Linked DNA regions of Danio rerio. The protein of the gene in region 4 interacts with the protein of the main gene of each other region in a pairwise test. Links are inferred from orthologs where the notes say so. Each region holds a gene or a part of one and is shown on either strand. Other genes may lie near its edges. The genes, in order: kctd9a, efhc2, alas1, lonrf1 and stau1.

The links.
Region 1: the proteins of lonrf1 (region 4) and kctd9a interact in binary tests that used the Homo sapiens proteins (3 or more experiments, as listed by UniProt). The two-hybrid records come from large-scale screens. The link is inferred for Danio rerio from reciprocal best matches to the Homo sapiens genes LONRF1 and KCTD9.
Region 2: the proteins of lonrf1 (region 4) and efhc2 interact in binary tests that used the Homo sapiens proteins (3 or more experiments, as listed by UniProt). The two-hybrid records come from large-scale screens. The link is inferred for Danio rerio from reciprocal best matches to the Homo sapiens genes LONRF1 and EFHC2.
Region 3: the proteins of lonrf1 (region 4) and alas1 interact in binary tests that used the Homo sapiens proteins (3 or more experiments, as listed by UniProt). The two-hybrid records come from large-scale screens. The link is inferred for Danio rerio from reciprocal best matches to the Homo sapiens genes LONRF1 and ALAS1.
Region 5: the proteins of lonrf1 (region 4) and stau1 interact in binary tests that used the Homo sapiens proteins (3 or more experiments, as listed by UniProt). The two-hybrid records come from large-scale screens. The link is inferred for Danio rerio from reciprocal best matches to the Homo sapiens genes LONRF1 and STAU1.

Annotation. Positions count from the first base shown.
Region 1 is NC_133183.1:61,414,451-61,417,667, forward strand, and holds the end of kctd9a (BTB/POZ domain-containing protein KCTD9a), read right to left. Parts: coding exon 3,159-3,217; intron 3,080-3,158; coding exon 2,974-3,079; intron 1,181-2,973; coding exon 1,047-1,180; intron 749-1,046; coding exon 632-748; 3' UTR 512-631; downstream 1-511. UniProt on the Homo sapiens protein: Substrate-specific adapter of a BCR (BTB-CUL3-RBX1) E3 ubiquitin-protein ligase complex, which mediates the ubiquitination of target proteins, leading to their degradation by the proteasome.
Region 2 is NC_133184.1:35,469,624-35,473,689, reverse strand, and holds the start of efhc2 (EF-hand domain-containing family member C2), read left to right. Parts: upstream 1-1,257; 5' UTR 1,258-1,355; coding exon 1,356-1,397; intron 1,398-1,836; coding exon 1,837-2,025; intron 2,026-2,119; coding exon 2,120-2,270; intron 2,271-2,363; coding exon 2,364-2,587; exon of another isoform or gene 2,588-2,591; intron 2,592-2,658; coding exon 2,659-2,910; intron 2,911-4,066. UniProt on the Homo sapiens protein: Microtubule inner protein (MIP) part of the dynein-decorated doublet microtubules (DMTs) in cilia axoneme, which is required for motile cilia beating.
Region 3 is NC_133186.1:320,246-324,484, reverse strand, and holds the start of alas1 (5-aminolevulinate synthase, non-specific, mitochondrial), read left to right. Parts: upstream 1-1,438; 5' UTR 1,439-1,576; intron 1,577-4,092; 5' UTR 4,093-4,112; coding exon of another isoform or gene 4,113-4,239.
Region 4 is NC_133183.1:15,527,311-15,531,512, forward strand, and holds the start of lonrf1 (LON peptidase N-terminal domain and RING finger protein 1), read left to right. Parts: upstream 1-1,390; 5' UTR 1,391-1,464; coding exon 1,465-2,074; intron 2,075-4,202.
Region 5 is NC_133181.1:48,966,740-48,970,255, forward strand, and holds part of stau1 (double-stranded RNA-binding protein Staufen homolog 1), read left to right. Parts: intron 1-1,657; coding exon 1,658-1,808; intron 1,809-1,946; coding exon 1,947-2,118; intron 2,119-3,516. UniProt on the Homo sapiens protein: Binds double-stranded RNA (regardless of the sequence) and tubulin.

The DNA.
Region 1 (3,217 bases), about 46 Mb from region 4:
GAATGGTGTACAATGTTTTATTTATAATAATTTATTTATTTTAGTGTCCAATTTATTAAACATACAGCGGTCACTTTTTGGACATTTTTAAAAATTAACGCAATAGTTACTTTCGCTGGTAATTAGTTAGTTTTATAATGATGTAATCCAGTTACTAACTTTTTTTACTTACTTTTTATGAGAAGTAACTAGTAACTATAACAAATGTTTTACCTTAAATCAAGCAAAATAAACTGCCAATGGCATAAGCAAAACAATTTTGGTTTCAGTTTGAAATAAGAACATTTTATTTACCCTAATGGAAGATTATTTAGCTAGTTTTAACAAAAAAAAACTCAGATAATTCTGACTTACTGATTCTGAAAACAAAACAATATTTTGAATTTGTGTAGAAAGTGCTTCTTGACTGAAGAATTTTTAGATATCTGGCCCGAAAACTGGACAAAAATCCTAAGCAAGTAGAATTTCTTTTAGTTTTTTTTTTTTGCAGTGAGTAAAGCTCAAAGAGGGCTGGCAAAACAAGTGCTAGTATTGCATAAGTTTTCACAGGAGCGTGAAAAGGATTGTGGGTAAGAGAGTGCTGTGAGGAGCTGGCTGGTGGCTTTTACCGGGCGGTGAGCAGAGTAAGTGGTTATCTCACGCTTTGAGACATGTGCAGCGGAGTCAGCATCTCCTCAAAGATGGCTCCTTTCACATTTGAACCACGCAGATTGGCTTCCTGTAGATCACAGCCTGAGAGATCGCAGTTCTGAACACACAATCAAATAATCAAGAGTAATTTTAAGCAGGATGCTAGTGTCTTGAAAAACAACTAGTCAAATATTATTTACAATCATCATGGCAAAGATAAAAGAAATCAGTAATTAGAAATGAGTTATTAAAACTATCATGTTTAGGAATGTGTTTTAAAAAATCTTATCGTTAAACAGAAATTGGTGAAAAAATATGCAGGGCTCATAATTCTGACTTTAATTGTTCATATTTTTCTTCTTCCTTTGAAAAATCTCTAAACATTTTCAAACATTCAATCAACACTGCCGTCTCACCTCTAGATCTGTGCCGGCTAATGTAGCACCACGCAGGTTACAGTTCTTTAGCTTAGCATTCTTCAGCGTAGCCACACGCAAATTTATCCCAGTCATCTGACTGCCCTCCATGTCCACTCCTTTCAGATTAGCCCCTAAAGCGCACAGCAAAAACATTGCTTAAAACATGGCAGTTCAACATTAAAGGCACAGTTCACCCAAAAACTCTGGACCTTTTATCTGCTCATTGTAATTGGGATAATGAGGAAATAACACACACCCGACCATGGAACAGTTTAGAAGCCAAATGTCTGATTACTTTTGGTCCCTTAACAAGTGGGAGGCGCATATGCAAACTCTTCCTACAGCGGTCACTTGATTTGGATGTTAATACGCTCAAATTAAAGCTGACACTCTGCAGTTAAAACACATCTTGTTGGTTTTATTTCAAATCGGTTGTGCTGGTGTATAGAGCTAAAAATGTTAGAATTGTGTCAATGTCCAAATACAGTTGAAACCAGAATTTTACATACACTCTGAAAAAAGGAACATAGCCATTTTTTTTAATGTCTGGTGTTAAATCATACTAAATGTTTACTATTTTAGGTCCGTTAGGATTACCTAAATGATTTACATTTGCTAAATACCAGATTAATAAGATTTTTTTTTTTAGATTTTTTTTTTTTATTTCTAGACAGTCAAAAGTTTAAACACATTTCCTTGGTATTTTTTTTTTTTTAGCTTTGCTTTAAAACTGTATACTTTGGTCAAATGTTTTGGGTTTTCTTCCACAAGCTTCACACAATAGTTTGCAGGAATTTTGGCCCATTCCTCCAGACAGAATTGGTGTAGCTGAGTCAGATTTGTAGGCTGTCTTGCTCGCACAAGCTTTTTCAACTCTGGCCACACATTTTCTATAGGATTGAGATCAGGGCTTTGTGATGGCCACTCCAAAACATTCACTCAGTTGTCCTTAAAGCACATTTTAACTCATTTGGCAGTATGCTAAGGGTCATGGTCTGTTTGGAAGATCCATTTGTGGCCAAGTTTTAATTTTCTGACTGATGTCTTGAGATGTTGATTCAGTATTTCTCCATAATGTTCTTTCTTCATGATGCCATCTATGCTGTGAAGTGGACCAGTCCTTCCTACAGCAAAACAGCCCCACAACATGATGCTGCCGCCCCCATACTTCACAGTTGGGATGGTGTTCCTAGGCTTGTAAGCTTCCCCTTTGTCCTCCAAATGTAACACTGGTCATTATGGCCAAACAGTTCAATCTTAGTTCCATCAGACCACAGGACATGCCTCTATAAAATATTCTTTTCCCAGTGTAATTTAGCAAATTGTAATCTGGCTTTTTTTTTTGTTGTTGATTCTGGCTTGTTGATTTTCCCATGTTGTCACACAAGGAAGCAGTGTGTTTGAGGTTTTCCTTAAATACTATTCTACAGTTGTGACTCCAATTAACTCAAATGTTGTCAATTAGCCAATCAGAAACTTCCAAAACCTTGACAGCATCATGTGAGGTTTTTCAGAGGCAGAATAATCTTACTGTATGTGAACTTGAATTTCAATAAAAGTTAAAACAATTTCTCAAAAAAATCTCTCTCTCATTATTCTGCTATTAAGCAGAACAGAAACAAATTCAATAATTCTAACTTACCTAAAAGAGAAACAGTTTAGTAAAAAAAAAAAAAAACCTTTTTTTTTAAAATATGTTTTTTAAATGTGCCTTTTTATACAGTGTATGTAAATATAGGTAAATAAATATTCATAAACACATATAAATGTTCACACGTTTAAAAAAAATCTAAAATCTAAACATTCCAAACCTTCAAGGTGCTGACGACGTTAAATGTGTCATAATATGTCATGTGAAAAGGGTCCATCAGCTTAATTCTACTAGATAAAATAAACACTGGATTTAAATATGCAGGAGTTTTACCCTCTAAATTGGCTTTAAGTCCAGAGGGATCCTCAAAGTTACATCCTTTAAGAGACGCTCCCTCCGCATTGGAGCAGAGCATCTTCACGCCCTGAAGATTAGCACCCTGGAGAACAGGATCATTTAACAAACTGAGAGATGAAAAAGAAGGAGATTTGTCCCAGAGCAAGAGATAAAGGGCTCACATCCAGGTTGGCTCCCGACAGGTCGGCTCTCTCTAGGTTTGAGCAGCACAGGTTTGCAT
Region 2 (4,066 bases), on a different chromosome or scaffold from region 4:
TTTAATACATAATATAAATAATTCTTGTTTACTTCCGGCCACAACCGTATGTGATCTAGCAATAACCCTACTTTTGTCTACTTATCAGTCTTCCATCATTTTGTTAGCGATGCCTATCCTCCAATGATCCAATCAGTTCCTGAAGGTTTTTTTCTCATTTCAGAATCGTTTCAATTTGATATGAAAAACAGGACAATCTTAACATCTGTTTTATGGTGAATTTAAATGACAATATATTGTGTTTGGATGAATCTGAGTGTTTTACAGTGTTGCAAAAAACAACGACTTTAAAAAGTAAAAATAATAATAATAATGTATCTGTGTGGGTTAAGTTATTAAATGCTACCCTGCAGATTTTTACAGTGGTACATTTCTAAGAAAAAAAAAGGAAAGAAAAAAAGGCTGTTTAATCAACAGTCATAACTGAAAAAAGTTACATGACAAAAAAATGTCAAGGTGATTTTTTTACTTTAACTTATTTTAATAAGTAAATCAGGTTTCAACTAAAGTTATGCTGAATTATACGAAGTTTAACTTTATATTTTAAGTCAGTTTGATGTTGTTTGATATGACTATGAATGCTATTAACTAAACAAGCTTTTTAAAAGAGTGTAGCAGTAGATTATTAAACTGAAAAGAACATTTGTTGTTTTAAATAGTATTTCATTAATTTGTGATATCTAACTGCCTGGTATTAGTTAGCCTACTTTTATTATATTTTGATTAATTTATTAACGTTATACTTTAAGAATCATATAGTGATATTGAAGACCAACCTTTTTGTTTATTGAGAAGTCTATTATTTTAAGCATTAGTTTTTGTTTGCTTGTTTTTTTTATACCAGGAAACTGTAAATTACAACTTAGAATACAGTAAAAGAGAAGTTCTATTACACAATATTTACATTAGATACACAGGATAAAGAGCAAAACCCAAAAAAAAGTACATTAAAAATGAATCAAAAAAAAATTGCAAAAAAAGTATTAATCTTTATTTTTATAGTATAATTTTTATTTTACAATGTGGATTGTTTTACATAGAAGATTCTAGTGAAACCGTGTCAGTTCAGTTTTCAGAGTTTTAGTTAGCATTAAGTAGCATTAAAGATCATATTTACTAAGTGATTAAACTAAATGTTCTATTTCACATAAGAAGTCTATAAAATTATTTATTTTAAGCATTAGTTTTAAATAGTTTAATTATATAGTGACTACTGTGCATTGTCACGTTATCTGCGTTTCGTTGCCTAGCAATGACATTTGCAAACAAGTTGTTACCGTTACCGTGGCGAGCAGTTGTGCCGTCTGCGGCTGTCGTCCAACTGAGGGAAAAATAACGTTAATTCGCTGATAATCATGGCGTTACCAATGCTGCCTGGAAATTCAGTCAACAGAAACGTAAGTAATATCAGAAATCTAAAATAAATTCCTGTTATAAAAAGCCTTGTAGGACATTTCTAAGCTAACTTACATTGGTGCAAGAGCAAAAGTGCAATTTATCCTTTCGAAAGCACTTAATATAACGTTATGCGTTAACGTTATTATTTATGATTCAATATAAGTTAACTTTAAGCACAGTTTCGACGTCAGGTGCGATAAAAGTGGTCAGAGAAAATGACGATTTACCTTTTTGAACATACCATTGAACGAGATGGATAAAAAAAATGTAACTTATGTGTTTATTACACATTATGCATTAGTTCATTTGTTAGTAAGTAGGCAGTTCAATTGTTTAAACCACTAAAAGCAAATGAAGGAAACTGATCTAATATAATAACAGGTTAAATGGTCTGATATAGTTTGTCTTACACAATAATGAAAACAAATCTCTTTCCAGCTTGGAAAAGACAAATTTCACAAGTCTCAGCATTTTGATTATTCAAATGGAGTAGCTATGATGGTTGGGACAGAGAAGCCGGGCATTGGAGGAGATCTGCTCCTGGGACAGAGTGCAAGAGCCAAATATTCACGGTTTCCAAAAGGAGAGGGCAGTGGTGCTCCAGCATGGCTTGCCTTTGACAAACAGGTTTTTCATCATATAAGAATATAATATACCTATTTTTTCACCTAGTGCTTGGCAAAATATACAAATTTACCCCCCTTTATTTACCTACCTGAAGGTCCTGTGTTTTGATGCTTATTTCAATGAAGATGTTCCTCAAAGGAGGGAAGAAAAATATAGAGTACGAAAGTGCAAGATTTACTTCTACCTGGAGGATGACACCATACAAGTGGTGGAGCCAGAGTTCAAAAACAGTGGCATCCCACAAGGTGAACCATCAGAATCAAACATTTAGTTTCCAGATTAATGACAAACCAGTTAAAAACATCTTGTCTAAATTCAGCTGTTCTTCTTCTGTACAGGAACCCTGATTCGGCGCCACCGCATTCCTCTACCAGCTCCTAAAGATGATTGTTTCTACAATGTGCACCATTTCAACATCAACCAGGAAGTCGTGTTTTATTCCAGAAACTTTATGATCACAGACTGTGACCCTTTCACTCGCAACTTTTTGATAAAAATGGGAGTCCGACTGAATCCTCCTGCTTCCACACCAGCGGATCCCTATACTACCCTTCGACAAGAGGCAAGTGAGCACCAGGGATCTAAATAGCAATATCAGAACTTCCGTATTATAAAGTGTGTTTCCCCTGACAGTTGGAAGAGAACATGAAGCCACTGCGGCCGTATGAAAGACTGGATACCCTGAAGCAGTTTTTAGAGCATGACCGCCAAGTCCTGCGCTTCTACTGCTACTGGGATGATAGTGAGAGCATGTTTGGAGACCCTAGAGAGCTGATCCTGCATTACTTCCTGGCAGACGACACCATGGAAATGTACGAAGTTGTTCCTCCAAACTCTGGTCGAGACACTGTCCCTAAATTTCTGCACAGGGGCAAGCTTCCCAAGGTTAGTAAGAAACAGCACATTACTTTAAATATATATATATATATATAAACATATTAGAAAAGAACATATCTGTAAAGGAGAATCACATATATAACTAATGCATTGAGCAAAACTATTGCAAGTATAATAAAAAAACAGTTTACAAGGTACAAATTAATGGAGGCACAATGGTGCAGTGGGTAGCACATTCGCCTCACAGCGAGAAGGTCACTGGTTCAAGCCTCGGCTGGTTCAGTTGATGTTTCTTTGTGGAGTTTGCATGTTCTCCCTGTGTTCGCGTGGGTTTCCTCCAGGTGCTTCGGTTTCCCCCACAGTCCAAAGACATGCACATAGGTAAATTGGATGAGCTAAATTGTCTGTAGTGTATGTGTGTGAATAAGTGATGAGTTGCAGCTGGAAGGGTATCCGCTACGTAGAACATATGCTGGTTAAGTTGGCGGTTCATTCCGCTGTGGCGACCCCTTTTAATAAAGGGACTGAGCCCAAAAGAAAATGAATGAATGAGTGTACAAATTAGCATACGCAATGCTTTCTGAAGAATTGTCACACTAAAGGATGTATTCATTTCGTTTTAAAAGTTGACGTATCTCACAGGTGTTTTGTTTTGTTTAATTATGCTTTCAGATAGTAATATTAGACCTTGCTATATGTGCTGTCAACTTCCAATGTTGAACATCTCTACGGTTTAACAAAGTAAACTTAATAGACATGTTTAGTAGTTTAAAACAATAAATTTTAAGAAAATTATATATATGTACAGAAATAATTCCAGAAAGTAACAGAAATGTATTGCCAACTAAGGTTTTTGTACTGTAATCTTGTTAAACGTTTCGACACTACCTGACCAAAGTCGCCTATCCAAGTTTTAGGAACAATTAATAATAACTGGACTTCTAGTTGATCATTTGGTATCAGAAGTGGCTTATATGAAAGACAAAGACCTCTAGATTCATCTTATTTTACCAAAATAAAATATGATTATGCCTTGTTTTCTAATTATTTAATTAGGACAGTAAGGTCGACTTTCCTTAGACAAAATTCTTGTCACTTACAGGAATATTGTACAGTATAAACAGAACATTAACATGCACATACAATTAAATATAAAGAGTTCTAAATTTATAGATTAAAATAATTTAAAAATTAAAAAGTTTCT
Region 3 (4,239 bases), on a different chromosome or scaffold from region 4:
TGAAGGAAGTCAAAAATTCCTGTTTGATTATTTTACAGCTGATTTTCCATATGTCTCTTTTGCATCACTCTTTATAATTTAGAAAATACTGCAAAGAGATGGAAAATTTGCAAATAAACCAACAAAAAATATTTATTAAAACATTTATTGTGGAACAGAACTATAATATAGCTTTTAATCAGGCAAATAATGTCTATGGCTCAGTGCAAAATGTGTATAATTATATATGTGTAATGAGCATATAGTGTATAACTTGTGCAATAATAGTTTATTATGGTTTTATTTACAGACACAAATTCAAAACAAAAACTTAAAAGTGAATTTCATGTGCCTCAGTTTTATCTCACTTTTAAACATATTATAACTATTAAACCTGCTTATATATTTACATATTTTACATATTTATAACTTATAAAAAATCTCTAAATCAACAAAGTGCATGTAAGAGAAGTGTGTTCATCTAGTTTATAGCTTCATTTATAATGGGACAGAGTAGTTCACCAACTGAAAACGAACATTTCCTCAATAGTTCTTCGCTGTTTCTTTATTAGTGGCTGTAAACTTTAATGATTTCTTTCTTCTGTTGAACACAAATATAATAATGCTGGAAAAGCTGACTCCAATAGAACAGACATATCTTCCAGCATTCTTCAGAATATCTTCCTTTGTGTTGAACAGAAGACATAAACAGGTTTGATGAGGTGGAGGATGAGAAAATGATGGTGGGATTTACATTTGTGTGTGAACTGACCCTGAAAACTTTAAGGAAACAGTCCTGTTGTTTTTACTCTGAGTTATGTCTGGGCTATTCCTGTAGCAGGGCGCGTCTATACACTTCCTTTGACTTTCTGGTGTAGTTTCCTCATATTAATGACATAAACAAACACGAGGACACATGTATCATACTGATCACAACACACGTGTTGATCAATCTGGGAATTATCCGCCTCGTGTGCTCAGGGTTTGAGGCGGTGCAGTCTAGAAGGGATACAGCTGCGGTTACTCATACTTTTTATGACCCACCCTGTACAACAATAATTCATATTTTACATTACTGTGAGGGCTGGGGTAGGTGTAGAAGTTTGTAAATACAATTAATGGGTCATTTAATAAACAATACGAACTCAGTATACTACTGTTTACGTGAGGGTTGGGTTAGGCGTTAATAAAATACTATTTAATGGGTAGTTTAAAAAACAATATGATTCGTCTCGGTGTAATTACTGTTTTTACATTAATGTGAGGGTTAAGGTAGACGTTTATAAAATACAATTCTCGTTAACTTCATTTCTCGCCGCAGCTGTATCTCTTCTAGCAACAACCGGTGTCGCCATAGTTTGCGCGGAAGGAGAGGCGTGTCCTCGCGGCTGCTGACGTAAAGATCGCGAGATCTGCGGCCGCTGGTGCGATATAATCCCGGAGCGCCGCTCGCCCTCTCGTTCGTCCTCAGTGCAGGATAACGACGCACATCGCTCATTACGGCTGAGAAAACAGGCCAGAGACGGCATAACACTAACAACCGACCACCGGACAGCGATACCAACAGAACACACCCGCGATCTCGGAGGAAACTGAGGTGAGGCGCGTTCATTAGAGGTCGCGGCGCGTTTAATCATGCGGCTTTCTAACTGTTGACCTCTGAAGACTCCACAGATTAACTGTACATCTGCATTTATTTATGTTTTATATCTTATTAAAGGTAGAGAGAGTTCAGTAGAGGATACGATGGTCGTTTTTAATGTACATTTAGCAAATTTAGCTAAAACGCCTCAGGTTCCTGTCAGGTTTGCTAACGTTACGTCACGTGACGCAGAAATCATAACTCTTAACATTAGCCGGTAGGTTAAATTACTGTACTGTACTGTACTATATTGATTTGTAATGTAGCAGAGTAGTGAACTGTTAGTGTAACGTGAGGTTTAGTTTCCGTGTGTAAGTCAGCTGTTTCCCGGCAGGTGAGCTGACAGTATCGGTGAGTCACTGTCGGCGCTGTTCTCTGACTTCATCAGGAATTAATGAGGTCAAGTTGGTTTTATTTTCACACATTGGGTCATTTAATGCTCTCTATATTGTTTACCACTCTATTTTGAATATCGAGTCTGAAAGAGCATTTAAATATGAATTCTAAAACAACATTAGCACTGTTTAATTGACCGTGAATAATGCTGGAATGCACTTTGATGGTCATTGACTGCTGATATGATTCCCCTATTTAGAATTTGATAATACTTTTCTGAAATGAGATTGTGAAGGAGAAAGTCTGAATGTGCGAATATAAAAACAGTTTCTGCTGTTTTAACTCGTATGAGTATGGGATTGAGGGAAAGTTGGTTTTAAATTCACACATTTGGACATTCTCTTTAATAATTTAATATCAGAAAAGTGTTCTTTGCTCATTCTAAATGGTGAAATCATATAATCAGCCAATGGCTATCAGAGTACAGCATTGTTTACAGTCTGATCCTTACATCCAATTTTGACCTAACATTCAAAGTACCATGGTAAACAATATAGGGAGGGAACCACTGAATACATGTGAGAATATAAAACCAACTTGACCTCAATGAGTATCGATGATGATGATGATGATGATGATGAGGGCTGAGCTGAGAGCAGCTGTAAATCTGTGTGGAATGGGCTTACTGTGATTTGAGTTTGAGTGCTCACACACAGCTTTAAGGAGTATTAGTGTACTGTGTGTGTGTGTGTGTGTGTGTCTAATGTTGAGGCGGTAAAGTATGTTTTATATTCGCACATTAGTTTAACGTGTTGTTTATTACACTGCTTTACATATTTACATATTGGGTGTGAAATGGCATGTAAATATGACTTCATAACAACATTAGACGTGTTGGTTAATCTGCATTCATACAGCGTCTTCAAGAAGTCCCAGTGTCTGCAGGAGCCTACTGGAGGTCTGCAATCTGGAAGTTCTATCACAAGTCTGATTTGAGATAAAGCTGTTTTGTCTATAATGTGTTCTTAGGATGAGGGGAGATGGCTAAACCGAGCATGCAAATGAAGTGTTGTTGTCGGCAGGGTAAACTGCCTTTTCAGGTCTGATCTCATCATGTTCTGGAGACAGAAACCGCCTGACCAGTTGACCGAAAAGAGAAAACAAGTGACACAGCCGTGCTGTGAGACTGACACTTTGCATTACTATGGAATATAAATTTATATTCCCTCAATGGTAATGTGATTTACTGCTGTATAATCATTTATTTTTATTTTGTCTTAGTCAAAAACAACAACTTTTTTCCCCAATTAACACAATATATTACATTTTAGGAAACATTTATATTATTTTGGAACCGTAAACATGTCAGGCTACATAATTAAAATAAACCATTGACTTCTACAATCTTTTTTATCTTCAAAAATCTTCAAAACAGATTTCCTTACAACACATAAAAAAACTCTACATATACCTTAGAAACGGTATAAAAAACATTTGTGCGGTTTTAATACCGAGACTTTTCCAGACCGCAGTAAACCTTGTAACCGGTTATCATCTCATGCCTAGAATGCACACAGACTCTGAGGGAATTGTCACCGTAGGGCCCCAAATTAAGTAAATATGCTCATAAATCAGACAGAATGAAGTGTTTAGAGATGTAGAAGTGCAGAGTGTGTGCTGTGAGCGTTGAGTTTAGAGGGAGACGAGAGAATACACACACACTGTACAGAACAAACATCACTACAGCTGTACCGAGATATACGAACGTGTGTGTGTGTGTGTGTTTGTTTGTGTGTGTTTGTTTGTTTGTGTGTGTTTGTTTGTTTGTGTGTGTTTGTGTGTGTTTGTTTGTTTGTTTGTTTGTTTGTGTGTGTGTGTGTGTGTGTGTGTGTGTGTGTGTGTGTGTGTGTGTGTGTGTGTGTGTGTGTGTGTGTGTGTGTGTGTGTGTGTGTGTGTGTGTGTGTGTGTGTGTGTGTGTGTGTGTTTTTGAACTCTCAGTACTGAGGTTGTGGCTCAGTTCCAGTCATGTGAAAGTGACAGTAACCCTTCACACCGGCCGGCTGTTAATCACCATGACAGTGCACTGTGTAATCAGTCAGTTGTAATTAACCTGCTCTCTGTTCTGTGTTTTCCAGACCTCACTGAACCGTCAGCTATGGACGCCATCATTCGCTGCCCATTCCTGTCCCGCGTCCCGCAGACGTTCCTCCAGCAAGCCAGGAAGTCTCTGGTGGCGTATGCGGTGAAGTGTCCTGTGATGATGGATCTGGCCTCCAGACCCC
Region 4 (4,202 bases):
ATAACTTCCTTTTACTGTGAAAATTCATGCATACACACATATGAAATCACTTGCATATATGTATATACACAACTAACTGTATATATGTTTGTGAATTTTATTTTTTATGTTTGCACAAGTGTCATTTGGGTGTTTATGCACACATCAAGTTTATATTCTTATGTGAGAGTTTATGGTTGTATATGCATAGATCAAGTTTATATGTGTATGCGAGTGTGTATAGGTGTGTTTGCATGCAGCAAGTTTATATGTATGTGCGTGTGTTAATGTGGGTGTTTATGTGAGGATCGAGTTTATATGTATGTGCGTGTGTATGTGGGTGTATTCATGCGTCAAGTTTATATGTATATACAAAAAGTTTCATCCATGTTGTTTTGAACATCCAGTAGTATAGGTGTATATGCAAGTAATTTATAGGTGTATATACACGTGTTTTATGTATGTGTTGATAAGCAATTGTTTGATTTAAATCCTATACGGCACCTCATATGCTACCACTGATCTATATACACTTTTTGATAAGTGGCTGCTTCATATTTTTGTTGAAGTAATAATATATTATTTAAAAAAACTCCAGCTCTTTTAGTCAACACTGATATAACATTTTTTCAAAAGAAAGAAAAAATACATTCATAATGTTACAAAAGATTTTATTTCAAATAATTCAATCCTGAAATCACAGCAAATCAGCATACTAGACTGATTCTTCAAGGTCATATGACACTGCAAGCATCACACATTGTGCTTAACTTAATAAAGTGGTGATCGCATAAAAATGATTTCCCAACCCTGAATTACGCATATCTATCGGCCACTGATGCTTTGCAATGGGAAAATGTTATCAGACTTATCTCTTGTGCAATATGGAATTACGTATGTGTGTGTTGACCTATATATTACATGACTACCGACATTCCGACAGACTTAACACTGTTGAGTAACAGACCCAGACATTCAACCTATATGCCAGGCCCCTAGACAATTCACACAAACACATTTAGTTAACACAGGAAATCATTGATCTCTTTTCTCAAAACAAATACACATCAGTGAAACACGCAAAACAAATCCTGATGTTATATCACACACGATGTCCGGTCAGTTAAAATGTTTTTTCCACCAAAACGCCCAGCATAAAAGTGAATAACACATGATAGTCTGATGACACGCTGACTTCTCTGGATTTATATGCATGCATTCTTTCAAATCAGCCCTTTTTCTCGCTATAGTCCCGAATTGCTCGTTACAAAACTCCGAGCTTCATGTTTTGTAATGCGCCTCGGCTGCCAATGGACGCGCTCGCTCACGGTCACGTGAGTGTATTTTTACGTAACTCGCGGACAAAACGCCAGTATGTTTAGGAGCGCGAGTCACTACGTTCTTCTACACTGTTAACCGTAAGAATGCTTTGACATTTTTATCATTTATTATATTTTGCCAGTTCAGTGGGCGTCGCTCGCAAACATGTCGTTGCGGAGACTAGACCAAGACTACGCTTTGGAGGAGAGAGGACGGTTTTTTATACCATCCGAAACTGAAGGCGACTGGGACGTGGACGAGCATGTCGATCACCGTCAACTTGTTTTGCTCAAAGCTGAAGCTTTAGCGTCGGAAAACCGTCTCAAAGAGGCTGTCGATATGTTCGCCATGGCTCTCAGATACGGTCCTGTCAGGCCGGAGCAGCTGAGCAGTTTGGTCGGATGCGTCCTGCGCAACTTCAAGAAGAAATCAGAGGAGTCGCCAGCGAGAAGTGAGCCGAACTGGACACAGGACTGTGAATTAGACTGCCCTGGTTGCCACTGTTTCATAGCCGAGCCCGTGACGGTGACCTGTGGACACACGTATTGTAGGAGATGTTTACAGCATAGCACTTTTTCTCAATGCAAAGTGTGCAACGAGGACATTAGGAGGAGGCCAGGTGAACCCCGGCTGAATGTGATATTGTGTGGACTTTTAGACAAGTGGTTTCCAGAAGACGTCAAAAGAACTAAATATTTAGGGGAAGCTGAAAGCCTGTTGAAGAGTAAACAGTACGACAAGGCGATTGCACTAACGAGTCGGTTATTAGACTATGGTAAGTTCGCATCCTCCTGTTTTATTGTTGTTGTTATTATTATTGTAAAATATATGCACTGTCGGAAGGGTAATTGGGTCAAGTTTTTATATTATTAATAGGAGGTTTAAGGAGTTCCACTGACCAACATTTGGATGGCCAGCTGTAACTTACATATTAGCCCCGCCCCCCGCGGTCATGTAACAGGAGAGTGGCTGCATTACAAAACGTGTTCGCATGGCGCATGCGCACTCGCCGCGCGTTGTGTAAGGCAGGTCGTGACACAGAGAGTGTTTTGTAATCTGAATCAAAGTGAGTTTTATAATAACAAGTAGAACAGTGCGTTATAGCCATAATGTTCTATTGTTTATTCACGAGACCGATGCGTGAGGGCTGTCATGTCCTGTTGGTTGAATAGTAACCTAAATCCTAAAACGCTTTTGGTAAACAACAGCTGAAAAAGGTTGCAATGTCAAAACAGGCATGAATTGTTACTTTGTATTTAACGTTTTTTATCAGTTTTTACCTTTTATGAGTGTATTTTTGGGTGTTTATGCTAACAACTAAGTTTATCAAAAGGCGTAATAGAAGTGCAAGTTGTATACCAAAATTCAAAAGCAGCTGGACTGAAAAGACTGCAGACTATATATATATATATATATATATATATATATATATATATATATATATATATATATATATATATATATATATATGTGTGTGTGTGTGTATATATATATATATATATATATATATATATATATATATATATATATATATATTTACACACACACACACACACACACGTATGTGTGCGTGCGTGTGTCTGTGTGTGTATATATGTGTGTGTGTGTAATATATATAATTTATATTCATTTTCATTCATTTATTTTGTCCTATTTAGATCCTGAATACCCATATATAACCATGACACATTAAGTTCAGTATGTTATGTTATGGAGAACCTTGAATTTCTATTCCAAATGTCTGGATGTCGACAAATTCCTCTATTCGGGTTATAAACAGTATTACATTACATCAGCTGGTGATTCCTGATTTAAAAGAGATAATCTTTGTCCTTTTTATATGAGTTTATATAACTTTTCTCACATCAAAATATTCTTATTATTATTATTTAAATGCATTGTTGATTCATAAAAATCAAGTGGCAGGCAAGAAAACATTGAGTTGCATAACATATATATAAGGTCATCTTGTGTAGTTAAAATTGGAAGGACTTTTTTATTTAGTAATCACACTGTGTTCTGGGCACATGTTTTGATAAAAGTGTGTGTTCCAGATAAGTAACATCATTGAGCAAATCAGAGGTACAGTATAATCATGGTGCGGCAGTCTCATCTTCACTGCTGTGTCCTCATTTACCCTGCTGGAGGAAAAAAACAAGGCAGCCCTGCAGTGTCACTCAGTTCATGTTCCCTTGTGGCATGTCGGTTCACAAATGTCTCTCGTTGATCTTCTCATCTTACACATCATAAAATCTCGGGGATCACGAGTATGAAAATTAATGACACAGCGCCTGTCAGACTGTAGAGGCAAGATAGTGCAGCTGGATAGGGTAAAAAAAGGCAACAGCTAAGAGTTATTACTATTTTTTTTATTTTCGATTACATTAAGATTTTCAAACTCATTTTGCATTGCAGCTGTATAAAAAGTTACATTTTAATCAAATAAGGCATTGTTTTGTTAAATATGTGCTTATTTTCATACTTTTCTATCACAAGCATCTGAGCATTGATTGAAGTCAGACTGAAAATTCCTTTTATTATTATTTTTTTGACATATTAGAGAAAAAAGTTTTTAAAGAAGGGATTTGAGGAGTCTTTTATACATTTATACACTCACCCATCCTGTCTGTCTGTCTGGCTATCTCACCATCTCTCAATAGTTACATTACATATGCAATGTTGAGAGTTTATATGTTGGGATTGTATTTGAGCATAATGATAATTGGCCATAAGTTCGCAAAACACGAGGTTTGTGGAGTTTAACCATAATAAAAGTTTATTATTTGCGTGTGTTTTTAACACCTGTGACTTTGCATCCCCATTTCTAAATTTAGTAAAGATTTATTTTATTTAACTATGTACAATGTTAAATCTAAAATAAAATTAAATCTGGACTTTACTAA
Region 5 (3,516 bases), on a different chromosome or scaffold from region 4:
TAACTAGTGAGAGTACGCCCTAAGATTGAATAATAAAAGTAAGCAACAATTTTAACATTGGTAGTAGTAATATAACCATTTTTTGTAATAACTTTGTAATAACATTTTCCTCATGTTTTCTTGAGCACCAGATTAGCATATTAGAGGTGATCATAAAGCCTGGTTTATACTTAACGCGTCCGCTAGTTCGCTTGAGTGCGTGCAGTGAATGTGACGCCATCAATGTGTTTGCGGAGGTTCACTTTGGGTGCGTGTGAAATGCTTTTGGCTGGCGAAGTGCAAGATTTTTTTTGAGACTCGAACAAACAGTTTGCACGCGCCGCATTTGCTTTGAGTTGAATCTGAACCACTTTGAAGAGATTTTGTCTGAAACAGGTACGACTGTACAGATATCTTTATAGTCTGTCCATGTTTGATTATAGGGAGAACCGGATGACCAATAATTCTTGGCTAGAAATTGCAACAGCAGTGGGAAAGGAAGAAAGATTTGTTAAAAAGTTTAGAAAAACTTGAAGAATAAGTTTGTTAAAACCAAAAAGAGAGGCCGTAGCTAAAGGGGAGACCCAGATGGTTTTATCAAACAATTACAGATTATGTTTTTCCACCACTCATAAGTTTTACACTGATGTGTATATATTATAATTTAGAACAATGTAATATTTACTAAGCTAAAATAAAGTTACATCATTAATTTTATTATTATTTTTTTTTTGATAACTGGAAAGGAATATTTAAACCGATTGGTTTACAATATACGGATGCCTGTTTTTTTAGGCTTTATAGGTGATAATGGTCAGGAATCTTGGACCTTTATTGCCTTTTTAGCTTAAAGGTAGAGGACAAACTAGCCAGACAGTAATGTGTGAATTGTTAAGTGGGTTAAATAAAAAAAGTCTTTACTTTTTTTAGATATTTTAGAAAGTGTACTTTTTTTTTGGTTAAACTGAAGGTTTGAAGGTTGAACTGTCCAAGATATCAACGAAAGCAAGTGATGCATCAAATTTAAATAAAAAAAAATCTTGAACGGTTATAAAAATGCTTATAATCGTTAAAATAATTTATTAATAATCTTGAACAATATTAATGATATGACGCAGTTCCGGAAACTTTCTACTTCTCTGTTTAACCGTCTGATTTTACAGTCCGTTTCTTTTGACTGCCCCCTGTTGTTTTAAAGAATATCACAACAGCAAATGCATCAAGTATAAAAGCCTTGGCCGTTTTGTGAGGTGGATGCACAGTCAGTGGTGGTGCTCGATGCGGCACCAGGCGAAAGTATAAATCAGGCTTAATAGTGGATACTGAAATTTCAGCTTTGCTATCACAAAAAAAAACATTGGTACATTGTGGTACATTTTTTTAAAGAGATTAAATTAATCCCAAATAAATTTGAACAAATACTACAGTAAAGACATTTATAATCCAAATAAAAGTCATCTGTTTTAAAGAAATGCTTTTAAGCCCTATAACTTTAAGTGGATAATACGGTTTTCTTGATCACCAATTCACCACATTAGAAAGATTGTTGAATTGAATTAGCTTATATGTAAATTTAATTATCTACAAATTGTAATGGTATTCTCTAACATTACTGTAATAGTTTGAACCCTTATAAATAAGCAAGCAGCTCTTTGACATGCTTCTCTCTCTCATGCAGATAATGTAACCCACACTGTGGAGCTTAATGCACTTTGTATGAAGTTGGGCAAAAAGCCCATCTATAAACCTATAGATGCCTACCAGGGGATGAGACCAGCATTTAACTACAACATCAGAGCACCAAGCCCGTATGCACGCTCCATGCAGCAGTATGTACTTTCTATTCCAATCTGTTCAGTTTTCCTAAAAGCATAACATCATTTTGTCTTGTGTGATAGCCAGTGATTAATCTCTTAGCACAAATGCAGTAGGATTGATGTACAGGCATGTCTTTTGTTTTTGAGCAGTTATTACTACCCATTTCCTCCTGTGGGGCCAGTACTGTATCATATGGAGCTGTCAATCGGTGGTCAACAGTTTCATGGCAAGGGCCGCACACGTCAGGCCGCCAAACATGACGCTGCAGCCAAAGCTATCAAATACCTGCAGAAAGAGCCAATATTGCAGCAAATAACTGAGGTGAGACGGGTCATGTTCATTACATGCTGTTAATGGATTATTCTACGAAATGAGCTGGGGTCTCATTTATTAACATGGCGCACACATCAAAAATAGGGCGGAAATGTGCGCACACAAAAGTTGTGATGTAAAAACATTCTTGATGGGAGAATGGGCTTAGATTTTAGTAAACTTATTCATTCATTTATTTTCCTTCGGCTTAATCCCATATTTATCAGGGGTCACCACAGCGGAATGGACCGCCAGCTATTCCAGCATATGTTTCATGCAGTGGATGCCCTTCCAGCTGCAACCAAGTACTAGGAAACACCCATGCACTTTTATTCTCACATACACACACACTCACACACTACGGCCAATTTTAGTTAATCCAAATCATCGTACTGCATGTCTTTGGACTGTGGGGAAAACCGGAGCACCTGGAGGAAACCCACGCTAACATGAGGAGAACATGCAAACTCCACGCAGAAATGCCAACTGACCCAGCCAGGACTTGAACCAGCAACCTTTTTGGTTTGAGGTGACAGTGCTAACCACTGAGCCACAGTGCCACCCAAGTAAACTCAAACATTGACTAAACTGAACCACTTGTAATCATTGTATGAGCCATATTCATTAACAAATACATAATTATTCTGTTGTACGTTCACTTTTAGGAAGGTTTCTTGCTCTATGCATATTTTATAAATCAGACCCCTGCTTTGTGAGCTTGAACCTAATCTAAGGTGTTTTCCAGAATATAAGTAATGTATTATTTATGCTGAAACGATTACAAAGTGAATTAGAAGTATAATGAACTTAAAGTCAAGCAGGAAACGGATGTCCAAAGCAGACAAGCAATTTAATTGGTGCCAAATGAGGGGAAAGTGAGTATTTGTAATATACACTTCATGTGCGTTGCTTGTTTCATTTTCCCTTTAAATTAAAAGTTAATAATTATTTTAAATTTTTGTTTGTTTCAAATAGATACCAGTGTATACTTGAAAAGATTTAAAACTGCTTAGTTAAAATGTGCTGAAACGCAATTCTTGAGATTTTTTTGGGATAACGTAAATGGGGGTTAACTTAATCTATTTGTGTTGGCACAACATGAGGGAAGTTTGTGGAACCCAGCAATTTTTAGAGTATAATTTATGTTTGTTGTATACATGCAGTTTTTATTCAGTTGTCTGCTGTTGAACTGATTTTTATTTTTTTTTTTTTGACATTTTCAACATTTGTATTTGCCTACTTTTTGTTTTTGAATGGAATTCTAAAATCCATCTCATACACTAATTAAGTGAAAATGTATTTTCTCTGCAATTCTGAGCCTGTGCAACTTTTGTTTAATTATTTCCTGAAAATGTATTAGAATATACAAGGAAAATACATGCATCTTATCCATCTTGTTAAATTGTG